Linked DNA regions of Cricetulus griseus. Each later gene encodes a partner of the first gene's protein in a complex. Links are inferred from orthologs where the notes say so. Each region holds a gene or a part of one and is shown on either strand. Other genes may lie near its edges.

The links. Proteins that work in one complex are often made in the same cells at the same time.
Region 2: the proteins of Capza2 (region 1) and S100a1 are in contact, whole or in part, in an NMR structure (PDB 2KBM), measured with the Rattus norvegicus proteins. The link is inferred for Cricetulus griseus from reciprocal best matches to the Homo sapiens genes CAPZA2 and S100A1. Residues at the interface, in NP_001009180.1 of Rattus norvegicus: Thr267, Lys268, Ile269, Asp270, Trp271, Asn272, Lys273, Ile274, Leu275, Ser276; in NP_001007637.1 of Rattus norvegicus: Ser44, Phe45, Leu46, Asp47, Lys50, Asp51, Ala54, Lys57, Ile58, Glu61, Leu78, Ala81, Leu82, Thr83, Ala85, Cys86.

What each region holds. Positions count from the first base shown.
Region 1 is NW_023276806.1:208,911,705-208,915,945, forward strand, and holds the start of Capza2 (F-actin-capping protein subunit alpha-2), read right to left. Parts: upstream 2,829-4,241; 5' UTR 2,708-2,828; coding exon 2,669-2,707; intron 1-2,668. UniProt on the Homo sapiens protein: F-actin-capping proteins bind in a Ca(2+)-independent manner to the fast growing ends of actin filaments (barbed end) thereby blocking the exchange of subunits at these ends.
Region 2 is NW_023276806.1:64,036,482-64,040,748, forward strand, and holds the start of S100a1 (protein S100-A1), read left to right. Parts: upstream 1-1,424; 5' UTR 1,425-2,001; intron 2,002-4,060; 5' UTR 4,061-4,073; coding exon 4,074-4,214; intron 4,215-4,267. Other genes in the region: S100a13 (protein S100-A13), read right to left, coding at 82-234. UniProt on the Homo sapiens protein: Small calcium binding protein that plays important roles in several biological processes such as Ca(2+) homeostasis, chondrocyte biology and cardiomyocyte regulation.

The sequences.
Region 1 (4,241 bases):
GTTTTGTTGAGACAGGGTCTCACTGTGTAGCCTTGACTGCCCTGGAACTCAGAAGACTAGGTGACACTGGAATTACAGGTATGCACCACAGCTAATCTCTTTGTAGGCTGGTCTCAGAACTACAGATCCTCCAGTCTGAGCCTCCTCTGTGTTTAGATTACAAATCTGCTCTACCACACCCAGCTTTGATTAATTTTGAAAATGCCTCCTTTCATGGGGCCAGTAAGAAACTACACAGCAGTAGCATAAAATGCTCACATGTTAAATAAAAATAAACTTCAATTAAAAATGATGAAAATCCAAGTTTACCAGTTAGCCTCTCCACTAAGTATAAACACAAATTTAGAACCTGACACTACCTTTAAAAAAAAGTGTCAACAAATTCAAAACCAAGATATAAACCCAGGATAGTCAGTCCTACAACCAACTTCAAGGGTCCATATACCATTAAAAATGCAAGTAAACCTCAGATTCAGACAAACTTAGGTTTAAATTTCACCTCTGCCACTTCCCTCCTACATAAGCTACAGAAGGCTTTTAAAATTTCATTCTACTTACAGGTAAATGGTAATAATGAAACTACCTACGTCAAACTTAAAAAAAGAAAGCACAATGAATTTGTCAAGTACAATATTATATATATATATATATATATATATATATATATATATATCTCATAGTGCCTCCCCTTTTTTAGAACCTGCAACTTAGAACACAAACTCCTAAAGTGTAAAAAATATTGAAAACTTATTCCTGAAAATCACAAGCCAGGAAACAACAACAAAGAAGCATGATTTAAGTATTGGTCTTAAAATATCATTTTTAAATCTTCTATTTCTGATCCCACATGAAACCTCCTCCTCCTAAAATAGTAAAAGTCTACTGGGTAATTAAAATAACAAGAATGTTAAATTTTCAAATTACTGGTTATTTAAATTTAACCTAAAATTCTGGCCATTCTTTTCCTAAATTAGAAAATACTGTTATAAAATATGTATGTAAAACTACTACAGAATACTTTTACCCAAGTCACAAAAATGCTGAATTTAAAATTAGAATTAATTTGTTCCCAACATGACACCAGTAGATGATCCTACACAATATTCTGGGAAGTAGTGCTCTAAGTGTCAAGAATAAGGAAATCTTATCATTTCATTTTGAATATTTCAGGCCTCTCCAACAACATGGCAGGTCTACATTAACTCCCACACTAACTAGTCTGTCTTTGACTATCTTTCTAGCCAACTGAGCTACTAATAACCATACAAAAGTAAACGACAGGGAAAAAATCCCTTTTAAAAGATGTAACATTTAATTTTGCATGCAGTGCACTGTTATATTTTCAATCACCTACTTAAAACTACTCAATGTTACATATGTAAATACTGCACAGCAACTTTTAGGGACTTAAGGTCTAGTTCTGTGGATTAAGGCAAAGGATGCTGCAGGTCCAATACTGTTAATTTATCATCACTTCCACCAGAATGCACAGAAGACAAAACATTTCCAAAGACAAAGATGAGGCTGACTTCTGAATGATCATAGATGGAAGGAAACGGAACCCTAATTTTGGTGCAAGGACACTGTTTAAAAACATTCTTAAGAACTGAGTATGTTTCCCACATGGGTGTGCTGGTCTGGAACTTTAAAAACCAGACACTTAACAGAGGACATTTCCAAAGTGCACCACACACATATGTCCGTCGAGTTTGAAAAACGTCATGGTCTTTTCCAGGAAACGCTCAAATTTATTTAGCAAGAGTTCTCTCCCTCCTCGCCCCTAGGTATGAAGTCTCCACAGTCGCCAAAGAAAACGGGCAAAAGAAAAAAAAAAAAGTCTTAGTACAATGATCAGATTTCCTATCACTAACGTGAGAACTTGAGTCCTGCATCTGGTCCCACTGCTGCCACCGCATTTAACACACAGTAAAAGGAGTCGCACCCGCTCTCCCTCCACACAGAGCTGGTCCTATCAGGAAGACAGGATGTCACCAAATCTGCCCCAGGGGGAGCGGCAGCTAACTTGAGCAGAGAACAACTATGGGGGCTGGGGGGCAGAGAGGTGTCTTTGTGAACAATACTACCTTCCGGGGGGAACATGGGAGCAGCAATTGAAAAGAAAAGAAAAAAGGTAACGATGAGAAAATTAATAATAAAGAAAAAGACCGCAAGGGGGGGAGGTGAGGAAGGGAGGGCAAAGGGGCGGGGTGTGCAGACTGCGACCTCCCGAAGGAAGGAAGGAAACACCCTGAAGAACCAGGAAGCACTTGGCGGCGGGGAGGAGAAACTGCAGGGGAAAGTGAGGGTCGGCTAAGCCGTTTCCCCCGCCCGCCCGCCCGCTCGCCCGCCGGCCTCGCCGTGACAGTCCCAGGCCCGGCGGCGCCGCACGACCCTCCACCGTCCCCGGAGCCGGGACCCCCAGGCCCGGGTCCCGCCGCCCCGCCCCGCCCGCCCGCTCGGCTTCCTATTTTCGGAGCACACACCCTACAAGGAGCGGAGCGGGCGGCCGGGCCTGGCTCCCCCGGCGCGGCAGCGGGCTCGGCGGGCAGCGGAGGCGTGCGGCCCACCCCCCGGAGCCGGAGCCCGCCCGGGGACACGCTCCGGCCCTCGCGCCGCGGCTCCCGCTTCCGGCCGCCCTGCCCCTCGCCGCCGCCGCCGCGGCGCCTACCTTCTCCTCATCCGACAGCTGCTCCTCCAGATCCGCCATCTTCCTTCTGGCGACAAACTGTGGCGCTGGTGGCGGCGGCGGCGGCCACCTGACTTCCCCCTTTCCGTGCGGTCTTCAGCGCCGCGCGCCCCCGCCAAGGGAGGGGCCCGCCGCCCAGGCCGCCGCGCACGCGCCGCGAAGCTCCGCCCCCTCCCCCGCCTCCTCCTCCCCGGGCCTCGGCCGCCGCGCACGCGCCCCGGGCTCCGCCTCCCTCTCCTGCGGGCGGGCGGGGGCCGGGGCCGGAGCCGGGCTGTGCGCGTGCGCGGCGCCTGCAGAAGCCGGATTGCTATGGAGCCTCCTATCCTGCTCCGCTCTGGGTGCCTCTCTCTACCCAGTGGTGACCATATGGACCCCGTTGGCGACGAGTACATGCTGAGCCCGTGACTTTGTTCCCACCAAATCCTGAACGCTGCCAGCGAAATTGTGAAAAGCTGTACCGATGGATGAACCATTTTTAAATGTTAGGCGTGGGGGGGGGGGGAGGAAAAAAAAAAAACCCTGTTCACTAAAATAGAAATACACAATCCAGTCCATAATTGGGGAGATTGCTCTTAATGTTCTCATTGATTCGTTCAACAAATATTTATTGGTCTTTTATGATAGGAAGACTTCTGTGGTAATTCTTAGGAATAAACAATGCAGAAAAAACAACAAACAAAAAACCCAGAGATGCTGCTCTTAAGCTCACCTCTATTAATTAAACATTGAGTTAGGGGAAGGCATTGCGCTCTTGGAAGGAAATAAAATGTTGTTATTTTGGATCTCTGTCCTCATGAACTGGCTGGCCAGAATGCATACAGGCCACCCAGCAAAATTTTCAATTGCATACAACCAATTTTTAAGGTAAATATCCCATGAAGGATTTGAGACTTATCAAAAACATTATTCATTCTTTTCAACTTTTATTGGAAGTCTCTTATTTTTATTTGCCAAATCTGGCAACTCCACTACTAAACCTTCAAGTTTACAGAAAAGTAAAGCTGTAGTCAAAGCTGGAACAGAAAGAAGATGACAATCTTGCTAAAATTGAGTTGCTAGTTCAGTAGGCCTGAGTGGGACCAGAGAATCTGTTTCTTACATGCTCCCAAGTGAGAGGACTGCTACTTGTCTGACAACTACACTTTGTACAGCAAGTACTTGGAGTTCAGCTGGGAATTAAGATTTTATAATTAGAAAGTGAGAAGCCATTGAAAGCATCCAAACGGTGTCAAGCCATGAACAGAAATGTATTCAGCAGCATCAATCTGACAGCTGTGTGTAAATGCCAGGTAACCCTAAGGAGTTCAAATCCATCTTTGCGTCCAAGAACACTATCATTAAGTGGCTTGCTAAAGTGTTCATTCACAGAGAACAGGAAGAGGAAGTAAGCTGACGTGTTCAGGGAAACAGCAAGTGTCCTGTTGAAGATAAACCTGTGGAGACAAGATGAAAGTGAAGTACAGTGTCTGTCTGGCCAACGACCTCAGGAGCTACAAATCAATATCAATTTCCTCTTTTAGGGTTTCAAAGTCCTGGTTTCACTTATCACTCCCTG
Region 2 (4,267 bases), about 140 Mb from region 1:
ATTTTTTTTCTGCCACATTATCTATTCGGTGTCATCACCTGGTATACATAGACAGTCTCTGTCCCAGAGACCTCTACCAACCTTTAGCAAATGAGGCAACTGCTCGGTGACCAGTTCCTTAAACTCATTGATGCTCAGGCTACCTTTTCGTCCTTCCCGCCCTGCAAATGTGAAGAAAGTGGTGACCACAGTCTCAATGGCTGCCTCCAGTTCCGTCAGCGGCTCCGCTGCCATTAGTACCACAAAGTAGGAGCTGATGTCCTCACAGACTGACCTCATGGAGCAGAAAGAGACCAAGAGAGTTAGGGATCCCAATATAGGTAAGGTGGCTGCCTAAAAAGGGTCCGTGTGGGAAAGATGAAAGGGTCCAGAATGGACAACTACTTCAGTTGAGGTTCACTTTCAGAAATTATTTTTCTCTTGACTCTTATGTCTGTGTGTCCTTCTTAAGTGTCTGTCTTAGGGAATGCCTCTGCATTGGTCTCTCCATGTGGCAACCACTCTACCTTCGAGGGTAAGTGTCTGTCTTAGGGAATGCCTCTGCATTGGTCTCTCCATGTGGCAACCACTCTACCTTCGAGGGTTTTTCTTTAGAGTCTTCTGAGTGTGGTAACATCCAGGGTGGGGTCTCTGTTCTAATGGCTCTTTCTTGCTGTCACTCCCTGTCTTAGGGTCAGGAAGTCGTTTGTCTCCAATGCTTATTTATGTTGAGACCAGAGTCTCTCCTCGTAGAGAAGCCTAAGGTTGGCGAAGAACCAACTGAACTCAGGTCTGGCTCAATCGGGCCAGACCCATCTTCTCTGCCCCAATCTCTACCTCTTCTAAGGGGGTCTCAGGGTGCTCAGCACCAGACCCCACCGACCTTCCCCACTCCTGTCCATGGTTGACAAGGTCCAGAAAGGGACTCTTCAAACTCCTCAAGCCCACAGCCCACAAGGCGTTTGGCATGGACACCCAGTGCCATCAGGGCTCCAGGAAGGGAAGAAACATGCCTACTCATCCCCCTCATTTCTGTCCACCCACCCACATACTCCCGCAAGGATCTTTGCCTGCTTTCCTAAAGCCACTTCCTGAATCTCTGCCTGAATCCGCTTGGAAGGAGGAACCTGGGAGCTGATAAAGAAAAGAAGGTCTCCAGGCTCTCTGCAGAGTCAGGGAGAGAGTAACTCACCCAGGAAAGGAGTTGGGATGAGATGCGCAAGCAAGCCGAGCTAGAGCCTCAAGGCTGAAGTTTTTAAGCACCAGGGACGGGAGAGAGCCACTCCCAAGTCCGAAGTGTCAAGTTTCCGCCTCCGCTGATTCGGAAAAGAGGGGACCGCCCCTGCTGTCACTAGCCATCCCAACGCTGCGCCACACGTCCAAGACAGAGCCTGCTCAGGAGGGACCTTAGGGTGCCATTCCTCCCAATTATGGGGGCTAATCAGGAGTCGGGGGGGGCTGCTACTACTATTTGGAAAAAAATAAAATAAAAACACTTGGGAAATTCAGCGCTGGAAAGCCCCGTCTGAGAAACCAGAGACCCTGCAAAAGATCCTTCAGTCCAAGGGCACTCGGAAAGCCCCAGGCTGAGGCTCCTATAATAGAACCCCAATTAAAATTCTTCGCTGAGTTCCGAGACAGAAACCCCTCTCGGAGGCAGGCGCACAAGCTAAGCACCCCTCGTCAGAATTCTCCCCTTCCCCTGCTCAGCCCGCACCACGGCATCCTTCCCAGGACTTCTCTTCCACCTCCTTCCTGCTGGGCTCGGGGAGTGGGTGCAACCAAGAACGGAAAGAAACATAGGGCAGCCCGTTCTCGCCTGGGAGACAGAGGGCGCCTCTGTCCACTTCTGGCCCCTTGCCCTTCGCGGTGTCATTTGTGAAGGGGTGGAGCCGGTGGGGAGGAGGGTCGGCCGGGAAGGACAGCTAAAGACAGGTCTCCCCACACCGCTCCAGGTGCCACATTTGCAGCTTGCCTGTCTGTCTGTCGAGAACCTTCTCCCACTTCAGGCCCAGGCCAACCGTGAGTATCCTACCCTGACTAGCATAGATCCCTGGCTTAGCCAGCCTGGAGGAAAGGGGTTCTCAAAAAGACCCCAAGAGCCCTGGAAAAGGATACAGTGTGCCGCGAGGGTCTGGCGAGGGACTGGAAGGAATCAGTCAAGGGAAGTTTGGGATCTAGGGGAGATAAAGTTTGCAAAGTAGTGAGAGGAGGTGAAGTGAAGGTCGGAGAGCTAGGAACTTGGAGAATAAGGATGCCACCCAGCTTCCAAGTCACCAGACCTTCCTACACAGAACCCTGTGTCTCCTGACAGGTACCCCAGTCTCTAGGTGTCCAGAGGGAGGAGAGGCAGCCCTGCTCCTTTAGCGTAAGAACTAGAAGGCTGCTCCTGCCCCCCTCTCCAGCCTTGTCCCTGCTACCCCTAACCAGCCTTGCCAAGAACCAGATCCCAGGTTAGTCTAGGAGCAGGGGGTCTGTGGCACTGTGCCCTGTCCCATCTCTGCCTTCTCAAGAACTCCTCCTTATCCCTTTTTCCAGTCCTGACCCCTGCTTCTCTCTCCCCAATTTTTTTCCTCTTTGTTTTTCCACTTTTGCACCCCTAGGGCCTCCCCTTCATAAAATTCCAAGCTGCTGGAGGGCTCCAGGCAAACCTCCAGGTGCCCCTCATAGATGAGGATGGTAACTGAGCCATCCAAATTCCTCCCTTGAGTACCCTCTTATCCCTTTCATCAGCAGGGCTTGGGTTCTATCTCCCCCTGTCTCTGTGACAACTGCTTCTTGTGACTGGAGTTCAGGTGACAGTCACAAGGGCTCCATTGAAGCGCTGGGATGTCATCTAATCAGGACCTATTGTCCAGTATACCCAGTGGTGAGGAAGGATGAGGACACCTGAGCTGAGACACCTGAGCTGCTGCCCCTGAGACTATGGAAAGCATGACCCTCCTGGAGCCACAGGACGGAGGCCCCCTTGCATGCAGTCCCTTCTCAATAGACCACCCCATTCTTCTGCACTTGCCCAGCCCCTTGAGCTCAAATGACCCAATGCACTCAGTCCTTTATTTAACCCAAACCAGCCCTATTCTGCTCCCACTGTAGCTACACAAACAGAGCTGGCCTGAGGCAGGAATGGACAGCATCAGGGACAATGCCTTCAGGTTAGCTCCCTCGTTAGAAGCTGTCTCCAAGGAAAAACCTCAGACATTTCCCTCTCCCTTCCTTCTTCCTACCTGATGAACACGGGTAGTTTTGCAGAAGAGATGAGTAGAATAGGAGGTAATGGGAAGTATACCCCAGAGAAGCCAAAATGACATACTGAGGAGAGAGGGGAGCTAGGCATGGTAGCTCAGACCAGTAATCCCAGCACATGGAGACAGGATTACCCACAAGTTGAGGGCCAGCCTGAGCTAGTTCCAGGACAGCATAGGCTATAGAATGTGACCCTGCTATAAATAAATAAATCCCCAAGCACAAAAAGATGGAGATAGAGCCAATTGGCCTGGGCTTGATCCTCAATGCCTAAAGAGGAAGACCCATGCTGCTGACAGGAAGAGCCAAAACAGTGAGACGTCCCTCCCCAACAACTCTTGGGTCTCCCACTCAGACTGCCTACCCCCATCAGCTCACCAAAGATACCAGACTTCTTCTTGGAGTAGGCAGTAGAGACATCAGCTCACTTACTACTAAGAGCAAAGTTTGACTGTGACAGGCCTGGAAGGTAAAAATAGAGCTAGAAGGCTGCCTGGTCCTGTGTCCACCCATGCCTGCCCCACCCCACCCTGTCTCTGCCCAGGCAGCCAGGAGCCAGCCACTGAATGTCTGTTGCAGGCTTAAGACAGCCCAGTTCCTATTGCTCAGTCTCCCTGCCCATCCCTCTGAAGAGACCCAGAATGATGGATTGGATTTAGGTGTGCTAGGGTTTCTCCCACATTTCGAAATCTCAATGAAAGATAAAGTACAAGTTGGGGGGGCATCTTGTAGCTGTTTGAGCTGTGAAATCAGGGTCAAATCTGAGGATTCCCTTACCCAGGACCCAGATATCCTAAACCTGGTTTACAGCTTACTTCCATCGTTGTGGGGGTAGGTGTGCTGCTGAAATGGGCTCTGAGCTGGAGACTGCCATGGAGACCCTCATCAACGTGTTCCATGCCCATTCTGGCAAGGAGGGGGACAAATATAAGCTGAGCAAGAAGGAGCTGAAAGACCTGCTACAAACCGAACTCTCCGGCTTCCTGGATGTGAGCAGAGGGTTGAGGTACAGGGTGGAGGAAGGGGATGGGTGCCCCTGCTG